Caenorhabditis elegans: one gene and its partners. The protein of the gene in region 1 interacts with the protein of each later gene in a pairwise test. Each region holds a gene or a part of one and is shown on either strand. Other genes may lie near its edges.

What was found. The genes of interacting proteins can lie anywhere in the genome.
Region 2: the proteins of egl-43 (region 1) and ceh-54 interact in a two-hybrid assay, tested with the Caenorhabditis elegans proteins (one large-scale study listed by BioGRID).
Region 3: the proteins of egl-43 (region 1) and ztf-28 interact in a two-hybrid assay, tested with the Caenorhabditis elegans proteins (one large-scale study listed by BioGRID).

Annotation. Positions count from the first base shown.
Region 1 is NC_003280.10:9,951,259-9,960,699, forward strand, and holds the start of egl-43 (Zinc finger protein egl-43), read left to right. Parts: upstream 1-3,926; 5' UTR 3,927-3,927; coding exon 3,928-4,047; intron 4,048-5,752; exon of another isoform or gene 5,753-5,754; coding exon 5,755-5,856; intron 5,857-5,911; coding exon 5,912-6,042; exon of another isoform or gene 6,043-6,089; intron 6,090-7,329; coding exon 7,330-7,491; intron 7,492-8,491; coding exon 8,492-8,606; intron 8,607-9,041; coding exon 9,042-9,227; intron 9,228-9,441. UniProt on the Caenorhabditis elegans protein: Probable transcription factor, required for migration of the hermaphrodite-specific motor neurons (HSNs) from the tail to the gonad primordium during HSN cell differentiation. Required for phasmid neuron development.
Region 2 is NC_003284.9:6,188,828-6,196,714, forward strand, and holds ceh-54 (Homeobox domain-containing protein), read right to left. Parts: upstream 5,415-7,887; coding exon 5,400-5,414; intron 3,531-5,399; coding exon 3,276-3,530; intron 3,226-3,275; coding exon 3,078-3,225; intron 3,026-3,077; coding exon 2,778-3,025; downstream 1-2,777. Other genes in the region: T13C5.10 (DUF281 domain-containing protein), read left to right, coding at 65-157, 204-357, 403-595; T13C5.9 (DUF282 domain-containing protein), read left to right, coding at 1,463-1,541, 1,621-1,770, 1,906-2,059, 2,107-2,296.
Region 3 is NC_003283.11:2,088,045-2,094,517, forward strand, and holds ztf-28 (C2H2-type domain-containing protein), read left to right. Parts: upstream 1-2,624; 5' UTR 2,625-2,636; coding exon 2,637-2,748; intron 2,749-2,809; coding exon 2,810-3,456; intron 3,457-3,511; coding exon 3,512-3,571; 3' UTR 3,572-3,696; downstream 3,697-6,473. Other genes in the region: gtnt-27 (Glycosyltransferase family 92 protein), read left to right, coding at 196-339, 713-945, 1,556-1,703; gtnt-26 (Glycosyltransferase family 92 protein), read right to left, coding at 3,709-4,003, 5,220-5,942, 5,989-6,104, 6,150-6,258.

The DNA of each region.
Region 1 (9,441 bases):
AAGCTCGTAAAAGTTTATAGACAATTCAGATTATCAAATAAAAAATCTTCTCTGAAACTTACCTAATCCACCAAATTCTCGACTTTATTTACCTATCCTCAACATGCTGTTTGATTCTTAACCCGCAATTCGAACCCGTTAACACCTGCTGATTTTGATCCCACTTAAACACTTCTGAGTGCGTTTTCGCATTTGTTTAAAATATTCGGAAAAAGGAGGAAGCAAAGTCAATATATAGTCAATAACTACTTCATGGATATTCTCTTCTCTATTTTTGACTCCAAATTAAACGGGGATTCTTCCATCCCTTCTTTATCGCTACAATTTTATGTTCAGAATCATCTCGAGATTCATTTTTCTATTATTTATCTGCCGTCGCCATCAAAACAGAATTGTCACAAGGCATTTTGAATTAAACGATAGCATTGGTAAAGTTGTTAACAATTTATTTGATTTTGCAATTTCTGGATTTCTACCTATCTTTATTTGATTTCTTTTAAACTTTCATTTGGGCAAAAAATTCATGCCTACCTCCAAAGATGTTCTTTGAGCTTTAGAACCACACATCAACGCTTACGACAAAATCTAAGAAATAGACTGTAGGCAGGCACGTAGGCAGGCAAAACGCAGAGAGGTATAATTCAGATACCTATGCCTAGAAAATCTTCTAAATTTGCTTTTTGCTCACATTAAGTTTATTTCAATTTCATAGACACCCATTTTTCCTACCTCGTATTTTCGATATTACTTGGAATTCATCTGAAAACGCAAAAGCTCATTAAGGATTCAGAATCTCTTATCAGAATCTCTTATCAAAATCTCTCTCACGAGATAATGAAATCAGCTGCCGCCTCTCTGCTTTATTCTATTTTTCAATCAGCCTTTCCTCGATTCCATCTCAAATGCTATCATCTGCTTCGATTTCAAGTACTTTACGGGTACTGTAGGTTCATCTATAATTCTTGTTCAAATGATGAGCAACACATATTATGCTTGATCTACTGGATTTTCTCTATTAGACGTGCGCCTCTACTGCCTGACTTTAAAGGCTAATATCTCGGTTGTCTTGCGTTTATCAAAAAATTTCAAAAATGCAAATGTAGAAAAATATTTAGCACGTATTTTGTTAATTGGCACTTTTTTATAAAAGCAAAAAGAACCGAGATATACGCTGCCAAAATAGAACTAAGGCGGTGCAGGTATTTTTTGGAAAATACGGTAGGTAACTATTTGAAAAAAAAAATTATTTTCAGACTGTCCCATCATATTAGAACCTGAAAGTCAACTTTTCACAAAACCATTGTTTATTTGTCTCAGTTTCATCAATCCATTCCGTACCTGGAGATGAATTGTTCTCTTCCACCTTTTTTCTCCTCTCCCCCTATTCAGTGTCCACCTTCCTCACTCCAAGTGCCTGAGAGCAGCAAAACCTGCTCCTCCTCTGTGTTAGCCTACACCATCCAGATTGCCACTACAGAGACAGACACACATGGGAAAAGCACAGCTTCTTCTTCTTCTTCTTTTTTCTACATCGTTTTCCTTCATATTCATGCTCAACTGAGCTCATCATTACCTTTCCCATCGGTTCGCAACCACGCCTCTCTTTTGCTTCTTCCTCTTCTTCCGGAGCAGCGACTGGGTGCCTCTTTAAAATCTCCGTAAAATGGACGTCTAAATGCTTTCAAGTGTGAAAGTGACTTCGAGACTTTTAGGTTTGGGTAGATGGCAGTAAATAATGTCATCTGATGCGTCATCCTACCTTTTTGCTACCCTCTAGATTTTACTATTAATAGGCTTAAAAATGCCGCCTTCGCGTGTGCATACCACCAAATATATAGATCTATTTCCACTTCAAATAGCTCTGTTGTCTTTGGTTTTCTTTAAAAATTGTCAACTAACAAAAAACATGCAAAATTACTATATTTTAGTAGTTAAAAAAATAACCGCCAAAATATGGTGATGGGGGTGCACGTCTAATAAGGAAAATACGGTAAGCGTAACTTTGTGAACTTCAAGCACCGAACTTCACGTTAAAATTCAAAAGAATAGACAGTAGGCAGCCTACCTTTTGGAAAATTCTCTGGAAAAATCGTCTTCACAAAATTTCCAAACTATCTGATAACACTCATTCGATGGGAAATTGTCACTTACGCGAGGTTTTTTTTGCCTCCGATTCAGAAAAAAAGTTCCATTTTTTGTTATCATATCATTATTATCAGTTCTAATGGCACATCATGTGTCAAGTGATGAGCACCATAACTTTAAATTTTCAAGGTTTTCGAAATATTTTACTCTTGTTCAACAATTCTTCATTTCAAAATGTGACCGTTTTCTTTCTACACTTATGACACTTTTAATACTGTATCACTTGAATGTCTCTAACTTTTTTTCCATTTTCCTCACAACTTTTCCATTCTTCTATTTTTCTGTAGAATGGACGAGCCCACCTTTTATTACTCCTATATAAAAGCTCTTCTCGGTGCGCTCACCTGGAGCTATGAGGAGAAGAAAAACGGAAAGAATAGAAGAAAAGAAGCGGCAATTTTGTCCCGTCCCTTCTTCCAAAAAGATGAGGACCATGAAGAAGAAAAGCGCAGCACATCCGTCAGAAGAAGACCACAATTGGTGGAGGGGCACACCTCTACTTTAAAATAGCTCCCATTTGCTCGCTTTTACTGGAAACTCTGGGGTCACTGATTTTTTGGATGGTTCTAGACTGTCCTCAAATGTATAATTTCAAAGCTGCGGCAAACTGCTACACCCTGTTGTATTTTCCGTCCAGCAATTTACTTCCAAAAATTCAAACTAAGTCAATAGTTGTTATAGTTTTTAAGTTGGTCTTTGATTATTGAGCAGTTCGGTAAACTCGCAGCCGACCTCGATGGAGTCTCGCGATAGCCTACTCCTGGAAAAAACGTTTGTCTTCTGCTTTCACCTCATGATATCAGGAAACTTATTACAGACATTCAGCCGACAAATAAACGGCTTGGCTTCTACTAGAAATGCTCAATAGATTCTAATTTAGTAGGTGTAGATATTTTCACTTTTGTTTATTTTTCTAAGTATCGAAGTACATATGTTAGAAAGTAAATAAAAATTGCTATTCTACTTTAAGAATTTTCTATATTAAAATAGTCTTTAGTAACGTGGGGTTTTCGAAACTTGCAACTTTTCAAGTGAAGATGCTCCTCACCTGAAGCATCCTGTCACTCTACCGATTGGCTGATGGGCGTGTCGTCTTCCATCTCTTCCACCCGCCCACTTTTTGAGACAGGAGAGGCTCTCGCTCCTCTCGCATCCACAAATGGAAGGCGCCTCTTTCCATCTTCCTTTCTTTTTTTTCTGGTTAGTTGAAGTATCCTTAAAGTATCTTGACGTTTTTACTATATATGACTTCTGGAGAGACATTCGAGTTTTTGGATCAAATATAGAATGTCAAATTTTGAAGAGCAATCTTCTCATATGTCAATTTTTCAATAAAATTGTATCCTACATTGTGGTGGTGTAGAACCCTCAAAAAATAATCTCTAAATTAAGAATTTCTTGATTTTAAAACTGACTAGCAAATTTGTCATGAAAAATCTCAAACGAATTTCCTACAGTTCATCTACCAAATGAATTGGGCTTGTAAACTTTTTCACCATCTACTAAAAAATTCAATAAAATAATAATCTCTTCCCAAACTACACCTCCCTCCAATATCTCTCAGCTTACTCCTAACTCCTATCCCAAATTCGTACATCTACCGTACCATTCCTCCTCCCTGTTCGTTCTCAATGACAAAGCCAGCCTTGAACAGCCATATCCAACTTTTTCGTTGCATTGTTCTCGTTCACAAGATGTATTACTCATCTTTCGCCCCAAAACTGTTCTTGTAATTTGTACAGTTCTTGTTTCTTCCCACGTACAGTTTCCTAAGTTTTCAGGATGAGCATCGACACAGACTTCCTCACGAGTGTTGAGGTAAAGGAGGATGAGCTACATGGAAATGTGCTCATTGCAGTAACTCAAATTGCACTCGGAAGGACCATCGGTGTGATTGATAAGGTGAGCTTTTGGTGTACAATTTTTACGCCGTAGACATTGTCTTAGAGGTGTCCGCTAGAAAAAGAAGTATAAGCTTATTCCCGGGCGTCTAAAAAACTCCACCGGAAAAAATACAGGTCGCTTGAACTGAAATATCTTATAGCTTGAGTAACCTATGAAATAAGCTTTCAGATGTTACACTCATATTTTGTTAGTTAGTAGTTATATGATAACAGTAATTTTAGGTTGTAATTGATAAAATAATGACTTTTTTAAATTAACAAAACTTTTTTTAAAATATTTTTACAAGCATTTTAAATTGATACCTTGGTGCCTAATCTACCTAATCTACAGTACCTTCGCCAACATTTTCAAATCCTTTCCTAATGATTCAACGTTCGAATTACAAATTCTTCCCAGAACCCAAAACCGCAATTATCGGGACCCTGAAATGTTTGGCGCCATGTGTTCCTCCCTGCTTCTTCTCCTCAAAAATTCCTTACACCTGTCTTTCCACCTTTCCCGCTCCCCCCGTCCATTACCACTTTGTTAACCTTGGGGGCACACTAGTAACCATTACATTAGGATTTACAAATCGGAACACCTGGTGCCTTGGTGGATGGGGGATCCGAGATGGGAAAAGAGACTCGATGATCGACTGTAATTGATGAATACAGTCGCTGATGGGAAAATGGATAATTGCTAGGTTTCCATAGGAAGAAGAATTTGAGGAGCTCTATCAATAAAGGAGAGGGATTGAATCCGTTGATCAAGCCGTCAATTTCCTACTGTAGCTGTCGTCGTTATCCAACTTCGTCACAATTCCATCATTGAATTAGTGTATTTCCCCCAGTTGTTTATCATCTAGAGCCGGCGACGGGTCTCTCACACTGATTGGCTTATCACGCACGCACACCACATCAAGCGGCAGTCACTCAGAATCAGAAGCCACTGAAGAAAAAGTTCATCATCTTTTGCGAGAGAGCCACTGATTGCTTATGGTTGCTTGGTGAAGGCAAACCACCTGCTCTCACAGTGGGAAAATTAGATTCCAGAAGCGATAGAGAGAGCGACAGCTCCTGCTTCTTCTTATTAGATATTGATGGGTTTTTGGGCTGAAGCTCACGGAGCACAGAGAGTGGTGAGTTGGCCGAAATGAAATAAGATTTTTTCGAGAATGAGTTTAGAATGTGTGCGATTTGTGAAATAATTGAGGGAGGAAACCCAGTACGCCCAACAAAACCCTTGTTGAGGTACTAAACTGTTTCTGCGAAGATCTGTGGGAAAATATACAGAGATTGCAGGAAAAATAATGCAGTCTTGTAACTGGTGTCACACGGTGTGACGCGCGTGACGTCATCTTTTTCCAGTCCGCAATATATCAAATGAAGTGAAAACTTAAAATTTGGATATGCAGTTTTGAAGAACGCATCGCCAAATACAGGGATTCTTGAAACTTTAATTTTTTATAACTATTCGTGTCCATTTTTTGTAAAATTAAGTCCGAAGAGACATCACCGTTGTCTTACAAGCGGTCATAGAGAAACCTACCCAGCGTGCCAATCGTTTCTTTAATCCATGTTATCACGAGGCCGTCGAAGGTCACCTTTCAGGCAGGCATACATTTTTTTACTACGATTTATGTAGATCCTAGATTCTACACTCATCATTTAGAAAAAGTACTAAAAACAATCACTTACATTAATTTTATAAATATTATTATTTTAGGCTACACCGAATGATTCGAATGCTCTTCTCATCTTGAACCTGATTAAGGAAGCTGATGACGGAGAAGATGCCAATATTTGTATGAGGCAGGAGGATAGAAAGGTGATTATTAGATAAATTTAATGAGGAAGTTATCTAACTATAAGAAAAATTTCAGACTTTTCTACAAACCAGTAAGATTATCAATATTGGAGAGCGTCTTCTTCTACAAAGACTGTCCGAAGAGGAGTGTGATGAGGAGGATCAGGATGATCTTGAGAATTTAATTTTGTTAAAAGATGAAGATCGGTGAGTATGACCCTTGAAAGAAACAAGAAAAAGAGCATGCTAAAAAGGTATGATTTTTCTCACCTTTGAAATTGGAACGATAACTGAACAAGTTGCAAAAACTGTAATTTTCCGGAATTTTTTCTATGATTTGAAGTTCTGTGTTGCTATACATAGAAGGATGTTTGAATTACACATAAAACAATTTCTAAAAAGCAGATTGAGTATACCTTTAATTTTTGAGTTGTTGAGATCAGCGTTAAAAAATTTCAAACCGGTTTTGTCGGTCTTACACAGGCGAATATTCGAAAATAAATCTCGATTTCTAACGGAAAAGTAACGGAAGAAAGATGTGAATCTTCATGAAAATCTTCTGTCATTTTCTTCTCATCGTCCTACTTTCTAACTCCCGTCGTTTTCTCGATAGTTTTCACTGGCGCGGTGAAAGTAACGGATTTCCGATAAGAGCACATCCTTCAGCATCTCCAAGTGAAGCCCGCCCGCTTTTTTTGTGTCCCGTTCATTTACATATAGATTCTACCGCTTCTGGATGACAAATTCGTGTCGGTTTCCGGAGGAGCCCTTTTTTGGGTATTTGAGCCCCTCAAAGGAAATCGTTGATTTATTTTGAGGGGTGTGCATCGGGGGAAGGAAGCGGATCTAGATTTTGCATCTTTTTTGAGAATCAATCGTTTTTTTTGCGGAAAATATAAATTTTTATCTTTTTTTCCGAAATCTTTATATCGCTAACTTAATTTGTGTTATTACCATCTTTTCTATGTTTCTTAAATTTTTAGACGATGATTCCTTGGTATCCCAAAAGTTTAGGTTTCAATTTTTACGTTAGACCTTGAACTTGCCCGATTAGATTTGAAAAGTTTGGGTTAATTTTAATATTTAATAGATTTTTCTAAATCGTTATTCGTATCAAACTATCTAGACATTGCACTTTACACTAGAAAGAATAACACAAAATTCAACTATCAAGTTTATGAAAAAGCTAAAAATTAAAATGAAAACATATTTTTATTTTAGTCATGAACTTTCATTATTCACCACATTAAAAAAGAGTTCTGTAAATTTTAAGAACAAAAATTGAAACTACGGAATATTCAAAAAAACATAACTTCATGCGTGTTTACATTTTTTGATAAAGCCAATAACATCCAAGATTCCAAAACTGCCTAACTTAAAAAGCGAGTAGCCAAACTAATTGTGTTATACGGTTTTGCTATATGATAGTATTAAAAACGTATTATATTTTTTGAGGCACTGTTTTTTAACCTTTCGAAAATCAACCATTTTCAGGCCGGACAGTACTCAAAGCTGCACAAAGAGCAGCAGTGAAGACAGCAATCTAAACGGTTTCGAGGAGTATATTCGAGAACACGGCGAACTTGTACCTGGTCAAACGCCTCCCGACGGATCACACAAGTGTGGAGTTTGTCCAAAGAGTTTTTCAAGTGCAAGGTGAGTTCGTTGAAAAAAAAAGTCGGAAAAGTTATTGGCAAGGTATATCATGCTAATGCACTCTCTCAACTGTTGTATTTTAGCAGGTGTTTGAAAGTGTTTTGTCTATTTATGCGTCTCTGTTTGTATGTTTTCATACCGTAGTCACCCTTCTCTATTCCATTAGAGGGAGGATCATTTGTGGCATAGAGACACGGAGCCCTCTATTTGCTCATCATTTTCCCGCCTTCCTCTTGAAGAAGTGGAAGGAGAAGCTCTTCTATGCTCAGGTAGAATGCTTGAAACCAGTGCTCCAGAGACTCAGGAAATTGGATCCAGGGAGGAAATGAAGATATTCTGGAGAAGTGGCTTCTTCATAATATATATTTTCTTTGTCTTGCATTTCCTAAGATATGAGAACCCGTTTACAGAGTCCTTTTATAGAATTTTGGTTTTTATAATAGAGATGTATGGAAACCGGGCAAAGTTAATTAGGATTCTTACAGCCAACAAGAAAATTTTAAGATAAGTAACGACCAAAACTTGAGCGGAGTTGAAAGTTCAGTGCATTACAATTGAAGTTTTTATTTATTATTTATTTATCTTGGGCTAGAATAGATGGAGCATCTTCACAGGACTGGACTTATATAATGGCTATCTGCCTGCCTGCCTACCTGCCTTTCGTTTTATTTATACTGTATTTGCGCAATATAAACTCATGCATTTCTATTTGTTAGAAGTTAAAAAAAACAATATTTAGAAAACGTTCACATGTACTTTGATAGTTGGCTCGCATGTTGGCAGAAGGCAGGCACAGGGAACCCTGAAGGCACTTAGGCAGGTTCGCTGGACAAAATACCTGCTGATTGTGCTGATTTATTTTCACTAATATAATCAGATATGAAACATGGACAATTGGGTACAATACTAATAGAGGGTGTACTGCTATATAACTTCTCCGAATCAAAACTTAACAGTCATTCACATTCACTATCACGTGTTATCAATCAATTTTTTTCAGCGGTCTCAAACAACACTCTCATATTCATTGCTCCTTAAAGCCGTTTCGGTGTCATTTGTGTCCAAAGTCCTACACACAATTCTCAAATCTGTGCAGGCACCGGAGAGTTCATTCAGTGAGTTATTAATTTAGAGTTTCTAAGAATAAACTGAGCACTGTAATAATCTATCGTGCAATGCTCCTGGGCTAAGAGTCCTTAAAGAGAGGATATAAAACTGAATAAACCCCATAATCTCACAACAGGGGGGAAAACTCGAGGCGTGGTCAAGAAGGTTATTGTCCTCTGTACTAATAAAAACGGAAACGATTTCAATGATGTGCCCCCACCTGAGGTGGTCCCTTCCTTAATTGTTTACCCCGTGAGAAAAGTGCAAGGAGCCATGATGCTCCGCCCTCTTTCTTCTCAACCAATAAGACACGCGCGCCGCCCATCCCTCGTGCATCTTCCCTTTGGGGTGTGTCACAGGGCTCATTCTTGTGACGTGCGCTTCCCACCTTTACCAGTGTGTTATCAATCTCCGTCTTATTCATTAGTGAATAAATATTCCAGGACGGTTGGACGTGCCCAACGTGTCAAAGTCAGATGCCATCACAAGCGGCACTAACGAAGCATCGACCAGTTTGCGAGATGACTGCACTCTACAAACCATTGATGGCGCAACTTGCCGGATTGAGCGGAGCAGGTGGATTAGGTTCCGTGCCATATTGGCCACATATACTTCAAATGGCAACACAGGTTAGTTATTATTTTGAAAACTCAACTATAGATACCGTCTCCCCTATTACTATTGCATCCCATTATTCAACTTTGACGCTTTATATTTCAGTTTCCGTTTGTCCTACATGAAAATGATCAATTGGCCAATTTTTTATTATTTCTTTCTCTATAGTTTTGTAGTTGATAAAATAATCAAATCGTCATAATGAACCGAGATATAGCATTTCAAAGT
Region 2 (7,887 bases), on another chromosome or scaffold:
GCTCTAGCTACAACAAGCACTACCCCATCAACATCAACAACCACCTCCACAACTAGTACTACAGCTAGCACAACCACAACGACGACAACTACAACTACCACAACAACAACTACACCATCAACAACTACAACAACTGTGTTAACTGAACCACCATTCCGTAAGAACAAAATTTAAAGCGAAAATCTTAAAGAGTTTGATTTCAGCATGCACAACGTGCCCGAAGGTGTACGATACAGCTTGCCAAGGCTTTGGAATACCAAGTTTAATTGATTGGTGCCCTCAAGCGGCTGAAGTCGGAGTCAACTATTTTCTTGGCCTTGTTGCTGCTCTTCCATTCTTACCAGCAGATTCTTGCTCGTATGTGACCTGACACACATTCTATATCATATTTCTTTCATTCAGGACCACTATCGTTTGTCCGCCCGGCACAACTCCCAGAGTCAATCTATTCGGTTCGTCAATTCCTGCTCCAACTCCCGCAACTCTTGCATACTGTAGACAAACTGGTCCTGACGCAGGCACATGGTTTACAGGCGTTCCACCATTTGAGATTGAACTTACTTCATTGACGTGCCAATCAGTAGTGTCAGGATAATAAAAAATCGTATTTTAAATGCTAATAAAACTTATATCAATATTACTAATTATAATAACAATCATACCAAGTTAATAAATATTTATTTTTACAGATCTAACTTCAAAAAAGCAATAAAAAAAAGTAGTAAGAACATTTCCTTTTTTTTTGAAAAATTTTGAAATGTCCGAATGGCTCATCAAATATTCTTAGAGTATAGTTTCACAAACTACCAAATTTCATAAAAAAATTTCTACAATTTCTGTTGAGAGTTTAAAAAAAATTGGCGGTAATGTCAGGAAGTTTGCAGAAGCTTGGATAAATGGAAACCATTAGAAACTTTTCAGAAATATTATTTATATTTGTGATTTGAGCCAATACTTTTACTACTTTTTAATCTCTGTGTACGTTACTAGTTTGTTGAAAAAAAGCAATAATTTTTTGTTTATTACATTTAACCATTTTTTTTTTCTGCAAAAAAGTTCTAGAGTTTTAGAACTTTTGAGCATAAAAATATTCTTAACGTTTTATTCTAATTATGTACTTTCAGGCATAATTTTCAGAATTTCGGAAACGTATAACATTTCAAGTTTTTGAACACATGTTTTCTAAAGAACATACAAGTTAATTGAATTGATGCATATAAAAGGTGCACAAACACACTAAGAAACAATTGTATGTCATCATGCTTTTGATACATAAAGTTGAAGAGAAAGGTAAAGTACAGTAAACAATGTGTTCTTCCCATTGTATAGTTTTTCAAGTTTATCTGTTCTTTTGTACCATTAGCCGACATATCGGTCATTTATCGGCAAGCGTTATAAAAGGGCGAGATGACACATATTCACTTATCATTCTCTGACTTTTAGCTTTCTGAACTGTTCTTCAATGCATTTTCAAAGATCGATCACAGTTTGTGTTTTACTCAAATACACTCTTGCATGCATACCTACACAGCAAGTGGATTGTAAGTTATTTTTGCTCGAAAGTTTGAAGTTTGTTTGGGTAGCATTTAATATTTTTGAATATTAATTTAATTACTACAGCAAATTCTCCTGGTGGAACAGGTGGAACAGGTGGAACAGGTGGAAATGGGGTCACCACAACTTCAGCGTTAAGCACAACAACAGCTTCCACTACCACCACCACTACAACCATTGCTACAACTACCACGACAGTTACTGAAGAACCATTTCGTGAGTATTTTTATTTGAAAATTGGTAGAAACATCAAATTAACGGTGGAATATATCTACAGCGTGAAAAATATTAAAGTATAGTGCTAAAATGGCCACACAACATAGTTTGAAATTTCTTAAATTGTTTCTTAAGCATGCACCGTTTGCCAGAAAGCTTATGATACAAGTTGCAAAGGGTTTGGTATTCCAAATTTGTTACAATGGTGTCCCACAGCTGCAGAACTTGGAATTAAATACATTGTTGGCTTGCTCCCCCTTTTCCCTTTTTTACCGTCAGATACTTGCTCGTAAGTCGGATGGTTTATTTTCTCAATTATTATCTTTTAATTTTCAGCACAGTAGTAATCTGTCCATTGGGGACTACTGTTTTCTACTCATTTCTAGGCCTCGAGACTCCAGGGGTTTCCCCAATTATTGCTTGGTGCAAACAGTCAGGGCCGGATGCTGGAAATTGGTTCACAGGGACTGAATTTTTAAAGTTTCAATTGGTTTCTTTAGTCTGTCGCCCAATTATAAGTGGTTAAATAAGTTTACGACTAATATTGAATTCCTTAGATTTCACTTATTTTAGTGCTGATAATAATTAACTTTTGAATAAATTGTTTTCAATACAGGAGAAAACAAATGTGGTTCACAAATACCATGAAATTTTCCAGAGAAGTTGATGAAGAAGTGGCGTAATGAAATGATCGCATATTGTAGTGAAATATATTAAGATTGGTTAGTTTTTTCTTCAATCAGAAAGTGACGATTACTATTGAGTAATCGTCATTATTCTGGAAATCGGCAAAAAACCAGTTTTTCCACAAGTTTTTTTTTTGAAGAATCAGAAACATTTCAGAGGGTTTTGTTCAGATATTTATCTTTTTGTGTCATTTTAAGACAAAATCCTCATTTTTGATACTCCTTTAAGAATGCATTTGTTTTACCGTTTTTTAAATATTAAGTTTTGAATTTTTACACTTGCTGGGTTGAGCACATATATCTTCCGGAAACTTTATAAAATCATTCACAAGTGGTTTCATTTTGCAAACTGAATAAATTGGAAAGAGTTAGCATTAAAAGTTTCGCACTTTCCGCATTGAATTGATCCTCGGATTCATAATTGTTTTCCGAAGCATTTTTGTTAGCATTGATGATCATGTTCAGAGTGTTTGAAAGAGCCTGATCTGGGAACAAATTGACGCTTTTAGTTCCAATTTTAGGTGCCATTTCAATTGAAACAAGAGTATCATTAGATAGGTTTGAAGGGCCTAAATTTATAAACCAGGTGAATACGTGTAATTGTAAAAATGTGATATTTACCTGGAGATGATGCACTTGTCAAAGTAGTGCAATCCTGAGTTTTTTCTTTTTCACCTGTAGGATTTTTAGTGATTGAAGGTGGCTCGTATGGATGGCCAGTTTGTTTCTGCTCTCGACGATACTTTGCACGACGATTTTGAAACCAAATCTAAAAATTATTTATATAACTTCACGCCTTCCAAAAGTATCGAAACTCACTTGAACTCGCTCCTCGTGAAGTTGAATTTTGTTTGCCAATTTTTCTCGGCTCATAGTGTCCGGATACTGATTTTCTGCAAACACCTTTTCCATCTCATCGATTTGATTTGCATCAAACGTTATTCGGTTCCGTTTCTTTCTGTCAGGATTGAAGTTATTCGATCGTTTTCGCGTGATCTTTTTTGTAGTTTCAAATTGGGTGTCATTAAATTGAATTTTGCACAAAATGTCTTGCAGTGAAGGCGAAATTAAACTCTGAAATGCAAAATGTTTAGTTTTGTCTAAGGCCAGGGGGGAAATGACTAAAAACCATTCAGTTAGGCACTAAAATGCCCAAATATCATTTAAAAAAATTCAAAAATGATTGGAAAATGTTTTATTTTGAGTCAAAAAGGGGTGACCGAAATTGTAGGGATTCAAAAAAGCGACAGTGCTTCAGATTTCGCGACAAAATGCACTGACCCAGTTTTCCCCACTTTTTGAGTCGAAATAAAACATTTCCAAAATTTTTGTCTAAAATATTTGCATGAAGTTTAGTCCTTTTTCCACTCGGTAGGCGTATGCGCACATACCGCGCACTTTCCGAGCGGTTTAATACATTTGTTTTTAATCCGCTCGGAATGTGCGCGGAATCTGCTCAGAATGTGCGCGGAATGTGCGCATAATGCAGGGCAGTTAAAAAATGAGGAACACCAAAACGCAATGTGCGCGGAATGTGCTCATGATGCAGAGTGGTGGTGTTTCACTGCCTTTCGCTTGCAGTGTATTTTGATTGCCAGTGTCCTTGCTGCGAATTGAACCTGTGATGTTTTCCCTGAAAGTCTGAAGTCTTACCTGTTGAGACATAACGCATGCGATGTTAATAGCAGTTAACGCGCCATAAATATAAGCAAATGAGAAAGTCAATGGAGAAACATAGAACTAACGATAAAGCATTTTTGGCACAGTAATTCAATAATAAAGGATTTCTCATTGGCTTTTGAACTTGTTTTTCAATCACATATTTATGGAAAAATGTGAATTAAGTATTTTTCCGTTTTTAAGCGTTAATGTGATTATTTTACTAGAGAGAAATCATGTCAGCGCATTTTTATACTTTCATGGTAATTTAGAAGTCTCTAATTAAGTGAACTTTTTGTTCTAGAATTCTTTCCAGAGATTCACAGATAATTCAGTTTTACAACAGCTACATGACAATTGATTTTTCAATCAGGTCAAAAAGAGACTTTGTGTGATTGTAAAACTTCACAACCTCTTCAATTTGACTCCTGGGAAAACATTTGAACGCTTTCTTCTCCAGTATACATTTTCCCCCTAACTATAATAGTAAGCACATATCTAGATATATAGTTTTTAATTTGAATCACAATTTTGACTTTTAAAATGTGGGACATTATGCAGTTGTAAATCAATAACGATAGACGGCGTATATTTACAACCTGTTAACCCAAATATAATATTTCTGAAAACATATTTCAACTCTACAGTGACGTTGTTGGTATTTTACAACTATTTCTGTCGAGAATGTGCATCATTTCAAAACGAACTATGAATGTTTCACAACGTTATTGATGAATTTTTGGTTGGAAACAATACGCGGATTTGTTTTTGAATGAGAACTATTAAAACCATTTCTCTTGGCTCTAATTTTCAAATATCAGAAATACTATTAAATATAGACTCGGACATAAAATTTAAACAATGCTATAATAATTTAGAAAGCAGAAATTGAGCATTAGTTGTAGATTATCTAAGTCAATGTGCGCAGAATCGGCGCGGAAGTTGCGCGGAATATGCGCAAAAGACTAATGGTGGGGAAAATGGCCACATCGAAGGCAATGTGCACTGAATGTGCGCGGAAAGTGCGCTGAATGTGCTCAGAATGCATGATTTCTGGATGAAAAAACACACCAAAACCAATGTGCCCAGAATCTGCGCGGAAAGTGCTCAAACGGCTAGCGGTGGAGAAAATGGCCACGCCAAGGGCAATGTGCGCTGAATGTGCGCGGAAAGTGCGCGGAATGTGCGCATACGCCTACCGAGCATTATAGAAATGAGTTTTCATAATTTCCCCGCAGACTATACTTGACCTTTAAAATTATTGATAAAGGTGTGAGAACGTACCTTAAGTTGCTCCATTTGTAAAATTTTGATTTTCAAATATTAATAGAAGAACAAACTGAAAATTATTAGATTTTTAGCAAATAGATAAAATTACAAATTTCATTAAAAAGTTAATCCTCCAAAAAAACCAAAAAGATCGCCTTAAGTCTATTACGTACAAATTTACATACAATAAAATGTCAACTAAAAGTCAGAAAAATATAGGCTTATAGTGGGATTACGGGATCAATAATGTTATTTCAAGGTGTAATGGCGTCAACGGCGTATCCTGTGTTATGTAATCTCCCTATCACCAATAGTATAGATAATGCGCTTATTCAAAGTGAGCGGAAACTTTCTGTTTCCGGAACAGCAAAAACACACGAAAAGAGTGAGCATCGGAAGTAGTTGTCGAGATATTATGAAATTCTAATCTGTTTTAATAAAGAGATGCTGATATATATTGTACAAAATCAAATGATTATTCAAAAACATTTTCATTTAAAAACAAAATTTTCAAAAAACACTGGAAATCTTATACTTTTAAAAAATGGCAAAAATTCATCAGTATATAATACCAATCTGGTTTGCTCAAGAATCTGGCTGAAAATTATACTGAAACCAGAAGATATCATGCAAATCTCAGAGCATATAGAGAAACAAAAAGGGGTAATTTGTACTAATAGTGGCACGAGGCAAGTAGTTTCTAACCTGAATTCACTCTGTGACAGGTGTGATCAGAACTAGGACGTGTTCGTAATAATGTAGTCAAAAAATTCGAAATATTATATTTTCATACTAAAGCTATAGTTTGACGACAACGACTTTCGGATGTTCATTGTCTCGCGCTTACTGCAGATTAAATTACAAAGGTTATAAGATCTGTGAAAAAAGAGGAAAGAGAACACGGATGTTTCCATTTTAGTCTTCATAATGGTTTTCCCGCAGTAAATGTCAATCCGATGAACCTTGACGATTAGCATAATCTCCACGCTGATGAGCAGAGTAATGATTTATGAAAGTGGATGAATATGCTTATTAGATTTCAAGTTGAGCATATACGAGCAAGAGCTTGATGGAATTAGGCTATTGCGGGAAAACAGGAAATAGTCCTTTAGTTTCTGGTGAAACCAAGCGCCCATTAGAAAATTCTATGAACAGAAGTGAAGCCATTGATAATGTGGCCTATTAAAAGTATTCCCTGAAATTAATTATTTACCGCCAGAAAAACTAAAATACTTATTTATGTTGCACAACAAAATAAGTATTGCGTTGTCTTATTCAAAATAACTCTGACAAATGAGAAATAAAAAATTGATACTAAAATAGTTTTTTTTTCAAAATCTGAAAATCAAAATGTATAACATTTAAAATCAGATTTTAAAAGCACAGAATAAGCGTTCAATTAAGAATATTTTTAACGAAATGGTAGAGTTGCAAGCTTTTTTATTGCACTACATAATTCAAACAGACTTTGAGATATTAAATTTCACATTATAGATTTTAACATAATTTTTAGAGTTATTTCAAGATTAATTTTCAGTGGAAAAAATTGAAGACGCGTGAAAATTTTTTTGAATTTTTGGTTTCAGAAAAATAAAAAAGTGGTAAGGATTGCTAAAATCATCTATTTTGTCATACTCTGCCGGAAATTGATTTTTATTTAATCACATTCCTTTTCCGGTTTGAAATATGAAAATTATTGGCTGAAAATGTATCAAGTTCATCAAGAAGGCAAATAACCAAAAGTATGCAAGACAGTGGTGTAATCGAAGTATTTTTTTCCGAAATCGAAGAAAAGCTGTTTCAATTTTTTTTTAACTCAAAATTCTAAAAATTATTTGGAGTTTTTTTTGCAAAGCTATTTATATTTGAAAACATAAAAACGTTATTAAATGCCGAAAAGAACGTCATTCACAAACCAAAAAAAATCAGTTACGTTTAAAATTAATATTTTTCATGTTGTTTATAAAATAATGTTTCAGTTTTGACAATTGGGAATGTACTTATTTGAAATATTGTGTTTTAAAAAAATAACATGTATTAAACAAATAAATAATTGGCCTCCAGTTTTGGGTGTTTCAGAGCAGCGTAAACAACGATACGTATAGATAGTTTGTAGTTTGTTAAGTTCTGGTTATCAACGTCATTTATTTGAATATAATCCAATTTAAAAGTTGTAGTTTTCATCTGAAACTTCAATATGAACTTCCCCGACAGATATTCGAATGCATCAAGTGTGAATTTTGAAAATAGGTAACCTGAAATGTTTTTCAGACAAATGCATTATTTTTATAATAAATAAATTAGATGAATATTTGTTAAATCACAATAAAGTTACTTTTGGAAACGCATTGAGTTCTAGAATAATATCATATTGCAAAAGTTTGCAAGGGAATCTATTATTTCTTAGAAATAACTTTTTTTCAGATAAAATCAAAAGTCCGATCTTCAGAAAGAATATTGCAAAGAATAAATTGATCCCGATTCTGAACCATCAATTATGCCG
Region 3 (6,473 bases), on another chromosome or scaffold:
CAAATTCGGCAAATCTGCAAATTGCCGGTTTGCCGATTTGCTGAAAGTTTTCAATTCCGGCAATATGCCGATTTGCCAAAAATTTCAATTCCGGCAATATGCCGATTTGCCGGGAAAATTATTTGCCGCCCACCCCTGATCCAAGAATTAATTTTTTTTTGATTTTTGAAAATGCTCAACTTTTTTCCTTTTTAGGACTGTTTCCATCGCAGCAAATACATCTCAAGATGGGTCATAAATGCAGATATTGACGAGCGATTCGTGATGTTTCAGCCAGAAACTACCCTTATTCAACTCCTTCGGTCCCAGGATGCAAATGTTGGGGAGCTGAATTTTCAGGTAAAATTTTCACATATTAGTAGAATATGACACAACGAAAATGGCGCGCAAAAATTCAAAAATTAGAGGGCGGAGTCAAACCGCAAATCTGCGGCGCGCAATTTTTCGAATAAAATTTGACTATCTTGCCACGGGGTTCTGGCCTTCCTCATTGAATTTTTCGCGCTCCATTGACAATCGCCTGCCGGACAACGCGTGGGAAAGTGTCGTGTACTCCACACGGACAAATGCCATTAGTTTTACAACAAAAATCGAGCCGCGACGCGACACGCAACGCGCCGTAAATCTACCCCAGATATGGCCGAGCCAAAATGGCCTAGTTCGGCAAACTCTTCCATTTCAATTTAAGAGAAAAGCCAGAAATCCATTTCAGGCGCGACGGATTCAAAAAACCGAAAACTCACCGCAGAAATTCACCAATCTGCAAGACACCATCGAAAACCTGGAGGCGCTGAAATTCCGGAACACTACTAGAACTCAAATCTGGGAATCTTCAAAAAGTATATACCGCCCGGAAATGGTCGCCGTACAAACCTACCATCACACTCATCTACAGTATCCCGGCGTTATCGTGAAAAATGTTCCCAGGGAGACTGCCGGGTTTAGGTAGGTTTTACACATACGTGAAAGTTTGCGATTTTTGGACCAAAATATGGTACTCGGTCTCGACACGAAAATGTTTTGTTTAATACTAAAAGGTGTGTGCCTTTAATGGGTACTGTAATTGCAAACTTTTGTTGCAGTGGAATTTTCTTTCGATTGTTTTCTGCAGAATAATATTTTTTATCGAAGAACTATGAAGAGCCCACCAACGTACAGTACTCCTTAAAGGCGCACACCTCTTCGAAAATACAAATTATCGTGTCGAGACCAGATATCGTATTTTTAGCTCAAAAATCACAAAGTTTCGCGTGTGTATAATAACACGGTCATATGTAAATTCAAGCAGCAGCTCGTGTACTTCTCGAGGAGAAGTGTGCATTTGTTTTTTGCAGAGATTTTTGAATTTTTACTGAAATTCTTGCCGATTTTTGTGTATTATTTTTGAAAATAGTGAGCATTTTAGACTGAATTTTCTAATTTTTTAGTGTTTTAGGCGGAAATTCTGTAGAAAAAATTACCGAAAATGGCCAAAAATCAGGAAATTTTTGCCAAAAAACGCACACTTGTCCTCGAGGAGTACACGAGCCGCGTAAATCGACACTGACATTTTCAGACACTACCGAATGACCTCCGTCAGAAATAGTATCGGAAATGGTTGGATTTACGGCGACAACTTCACTATAACCGAGCTGGATAGGGAGCTGGAGAAGCTTCTGGTGCATAAAGTTGCTAATATGGCTGAGCATATTTATGGGTCTTGAAATGAAGAAATTGCAGTAACTTACTGTACCGGTTTTGTATTCCTTTTTTTTCATGTCGAAATAAATCAAATCACAAAGTAGCGCCAGTGGGAAAATTGCTTTAAAACATGCCTATAGTGTCACAATGGCCAAATATCATAGTAAAAAAATTCAATTTTTTTTTCTAAATTTTATATGACTTTTTGAAAATTGGAAAAATCTCAGTTTTGCCCGAACTGCAATTTGAATTACCGCCAAGAGAATTCGTTCGATGGAGCGCGCTTGCACGTTTTTATTTTTATTTAAAATTAAATATTTATTGTTATTTTCACTCATTTTTCACCGATTTTTCATGTTTTCAGTGTATTTTTTTTTTGAAATATAAAGAAAAAATTAAGATAAATTCAAATAATCGATTGAAAACCTACTTTACAAGCGTAGAAACAAAGAAGTAACACTTTTAAACGACGTCGACCCTGAATTAATTAATTTTACAGATTTTTTTCGTTTAAAAATATTATTTATTAATTATATGATTAATGTGATTAGTGAGAAGCTTTTTTAGTCTACTATCCTTGCAAAAATTTTGTAGGTCAGTAAAAAAATTCTTTTTTCTTCTACACTCAAAATAATAAAACTGCGTTGCGTGTACGACCAAATAGGCCCCGCCTTTTAATCGTCCACTCACGGGAAAAAGGCAAAAATATGGGAGGGGGGGGACAGCTCGCCACGCCAACAGTGAGAAAAATAGTGTGGTGCGCGGACCTCGAATGATGTCGGCTGCTGATATTGGCTACACCAGCCGCTTTTTGCCTTTTCCCCGTGAGTGAACGAGAAAAAGGCGGGGCCTATTTTGGCGTACACGCAACGCAGTTTTATTATTTTGAGTGTAAATTGATGTAAAATTCTAAAATTTTTCTTCAAAATGTCCTCTTCTTTCAGAAAATCAGCTTCATGGATACTTCCGATCACAAGCCCCTTATCGACCGCTTCGAAACGGAATTCGCTGAAAAATCGTCACTGCTTCGCAAAGAAGAAAGCGAGCTTAAGCGGCCGGATCTCAGAGGTGAGTTTTATTTTATTTTTTTTTGTAATTAAAAAAAAACATTAATTTTTCCATTTTTCAGGCGATTTCCTCTGCTTGTCCTGCGGCCAAAACTTCAAGCACGGCGCTTCTCTCAACCGCCATCGTAAACTGGTGCATAGCGACGAGTACACCTGCATGCTGTGCGCCCGTAAGCTCTACCTGAAGGAGACCGTCCGTGATCACATGAGAAATGAGCACTACTTGGGTCAAGTATACACCTGCGGATGCTGTAACTGGACGTTTTCCAACAAAAAAGCCCTCACCGAACACGCAAAGGCCATACAGGAAACCGGAGCTCCAGGAGACGCCAACCCGATTGCGAAATCCGGCAATTCACCGGGATCACTGCTGAAATCGCCAATTCAAAGAGCCGGCTTCAAGCTTAATCGTCTTTTGAACAAGTCTCTGTCGCCGTCGACTTCCAATTCAACAACGTCCTCATCTTCCCGCGACGCTTCAGGATCGCCCCAACCGGAGCTGGAGCTGAAGCTGGAGCCAGAGCCAGAGCCAGAGCCCAATGAAGAAGCTCTCGAGTACAAAAGATTCTTCAACAATGCAGTCGACACAATTCTACAGAGAAATTTTTTCACCGATCAGCAGATCACTGAAGTCGACACATGGGTCATAATCATCGAAAGTGCGAATGCTCTTGCGACGGCGCTTCAGAGCTACAAGAAAGCTCAGCAGGTAGCTAATTAAAACATTTTTTTTAAAGATAAATTTTCAAAAAATAATTTTTCAGATCCAGCCAGCCGAGCCAGCCATGATCCCAGAAAAGCGCATCAAGCCGGAAATTGAGTAATCGTTGATGTTCGAGTGTCTTCATTATGTTTATAGTTCTACCTCACTGCTCACTTTTTGATTTTCATGTTATGTTAATTTACATTTTCAATTTTCGATAAGCTTTAATACATTATTTTGATTAAAAAAAAGATCCAATTACTGATAGCATCCAATCTCATCACTAAAGAATGCATCACTCGCCCAATGGAATGTGATTGGAAACATGGGCGGCCCGGAGTGATACGTGGCATCTGAATGGGTACACGGCATCGCTTCTCGTTGTGAAAGCTCACAATCAAAAGCATTTACACACGTGGATTCTGCAGAAAGAAGGCCGGCGTCTCGAATGTGATAAAATGATTGATTATAGCACTGGAATACGATGTTCGTATAAAAATCATCTTTGGGCAGAGAGGAGGTTAAGCTGGTGAATTCTGGCTGGGAAATTGTGCTGAAATTTTTTAAAATTTGAACTTTTGAAATTGTGGTTCCCGGTCCTGACACGACACATTTTTGTTGAATGCAAGTGTGTGCCTTTAATGAGTACTGTAACTTTAAACTCGGGTTGCTGCGTAAGGTATGAAATATCGATAAAAAAACCAGAGTTTTTGAAAATACAGTACTCTTCAAAGGCGCACACCGCATTTACAAAAACTGGTCGTGTCGAGACCGGGTACCGTGTTTTTCTTTGTTAAAATTTGCGAAAACTCGCGTATGGCTTATAAAAAGTGGTTTTTTTTCTAAATTTTTTTCACAATGATTTGAGTTTTGTCACGTATTGGCGGCGGAATTAGCACGGATTTCTGGCTTCCCTCATAAATTGAAATGGAAGAGTTTTCCGAACTAGGCCATTTTGACTCGGCCATATCTGGGGTTGATTTACGGCGCGTTGCGTGTCGCGTCGCGGCTCGTTTTTAGTTGTAAAACTAAATGTATTTGTCCGTGTGGAGTAAACGACTTTCCCACGCGTTGTCCGGCAGGCGATTGTCAATGGAGCGCGAAAAATTCAACGAGGAAGGCCCCGTGAACTAGGTATGTCGAAAAAATGAATATCTAATTTGAATTTTTTTCACCAATTTAGGTTTGAAAATTATCAAAAATTATTTTTTAAAAATGCATGAATACACGTAAAAATTGGCTGAAAATGTTTGCACTTACGATTCTGCCGCTAATACCCAACGAGACCCAAATTATGAGGCTGAGCACATTATCTTGCGTGCTCATATTATTACAGGAACACTGAATTCTGAGAATGCGTATTGCGCAACATATTTGACGAGCAAAATATCTCGAAGCGAAAACTACAGTAATTATTTAAATGAATACTGTATCGCTGTTGTCGATTTACGGGCTCGTTCTTCGTATTATTTTCTCAATCTTTTGCATAACTTTAATATTCCAAAAATAAATGATTTCATTTCGTAAATCGAGCCGGCAGCCCGTAAATCGACACAACCATAATAACACGTGGTGCCAGAGTGTCTCATTTTGGCTTGATCTACTTAGCTCTACAAAAATTGCGGCAGAGTTTTCAACTGCTTTCGCATGGTTAAGAACGTGCTGACGTCTCATTTTTGGGCAAAAATTTCCCGCATTTTTTGTAGATCAAACCGTGATGGGACAGCCTGGCACCACGTGTAAGAAGTAATAGGTCTAAAAATTCAAACCTCAAAAAATCCTCATCGATCTCCTTCAAATGTCTTTCACTAATCAACTCAGTAATATTATCTCCTGGATTAATCGGTATAACTCCTTCCCGAACATTACTTGAGTTTACGAAAACCATGTGTTTCAAATGAAATATTCCATTATTATATATGTACTTCATTTTTCGATAAATAGGTTTCCTCTGCTTTTTTGTCAAATAAATTGGACGATCATCCGAGTTAAGTGAATAATGAGACCACGTAGAATTCAATCTCTCCGGGCGGAAGAACGACTTTCCTTCGTCTTTTGTTTTCAGTCGTTTTGAATTTTTAATCATTGAACTTATGTTTAGAGTCTTCTTAGAGTCCAGTACCGAAGTTTTTATAGTTTTATAGTCAAATTTGTCATAGTGAAGTGCACTAATCTCCCAGCTTCCGGCATATTCTCTCTCGAACTCCTCGTAGTAAGAGTTGGCATTTGTTGGAATAAGTATATCATCCATGTCAAGAACTCCAATAAAGCTTACAGCCTCCTTATACATGAGAATACAATCAGTGTGCGCAGCCGCCTGATTTCTGAGCTCCACGTTACGATTTGGCTCCAAATATGGTTCATCTGTGGTAGAGAACTTAATTGTGAGCCAAGGTTCAATGGATACAAGCCCCAGCTTTTCATGTTCCTTGAGCAAGTTGAAGTAGGACTCTACCATAGATACCACGTACAGTTGTAGATGAGCTCCGTATCTGAAAATTTGATTTTTGACATAAAAATTTGCAATTCTAGTGTAACCGCTTCGAAACATGCAGCTGCACCAGAAAAGTCTGCCACTGCTCTGCAGCAAATTGTGGGGCTATACAGAAAACCACTGGTTTTGGCGCTGAATATTTCGGACGTTTTACTGGTACCTATAACTTGTTGTACTGAAATTATATATAATAAATATTCTTAACCTCTACTAAAACTCCATCGGACTCAATTTCCAGCTTCTCCATGTCTTCCAGCAAGTTTGCGTGGGCAGTGACAAGAGAATAGTCACACCGAGTATGAAGGCCATGCTCCCTGAAAAGCTGAGCCATTATGTGGGCGGAGCTTATTATCTCGGCATTTGGCTCTAGCTTCTTGCCCAAAGTTGGCCCAAAAAATAGTAACTTGGATTAGAAGCTAGCTAAACTTAGGCAAAACCTGGATTTAGGCTGCACCAAATTTAACCCAAGTTTCAACCAACTCTTGACAAACTTTGGCCCAAACTTTTCTTGTTTCGTCTCAAACTTGGG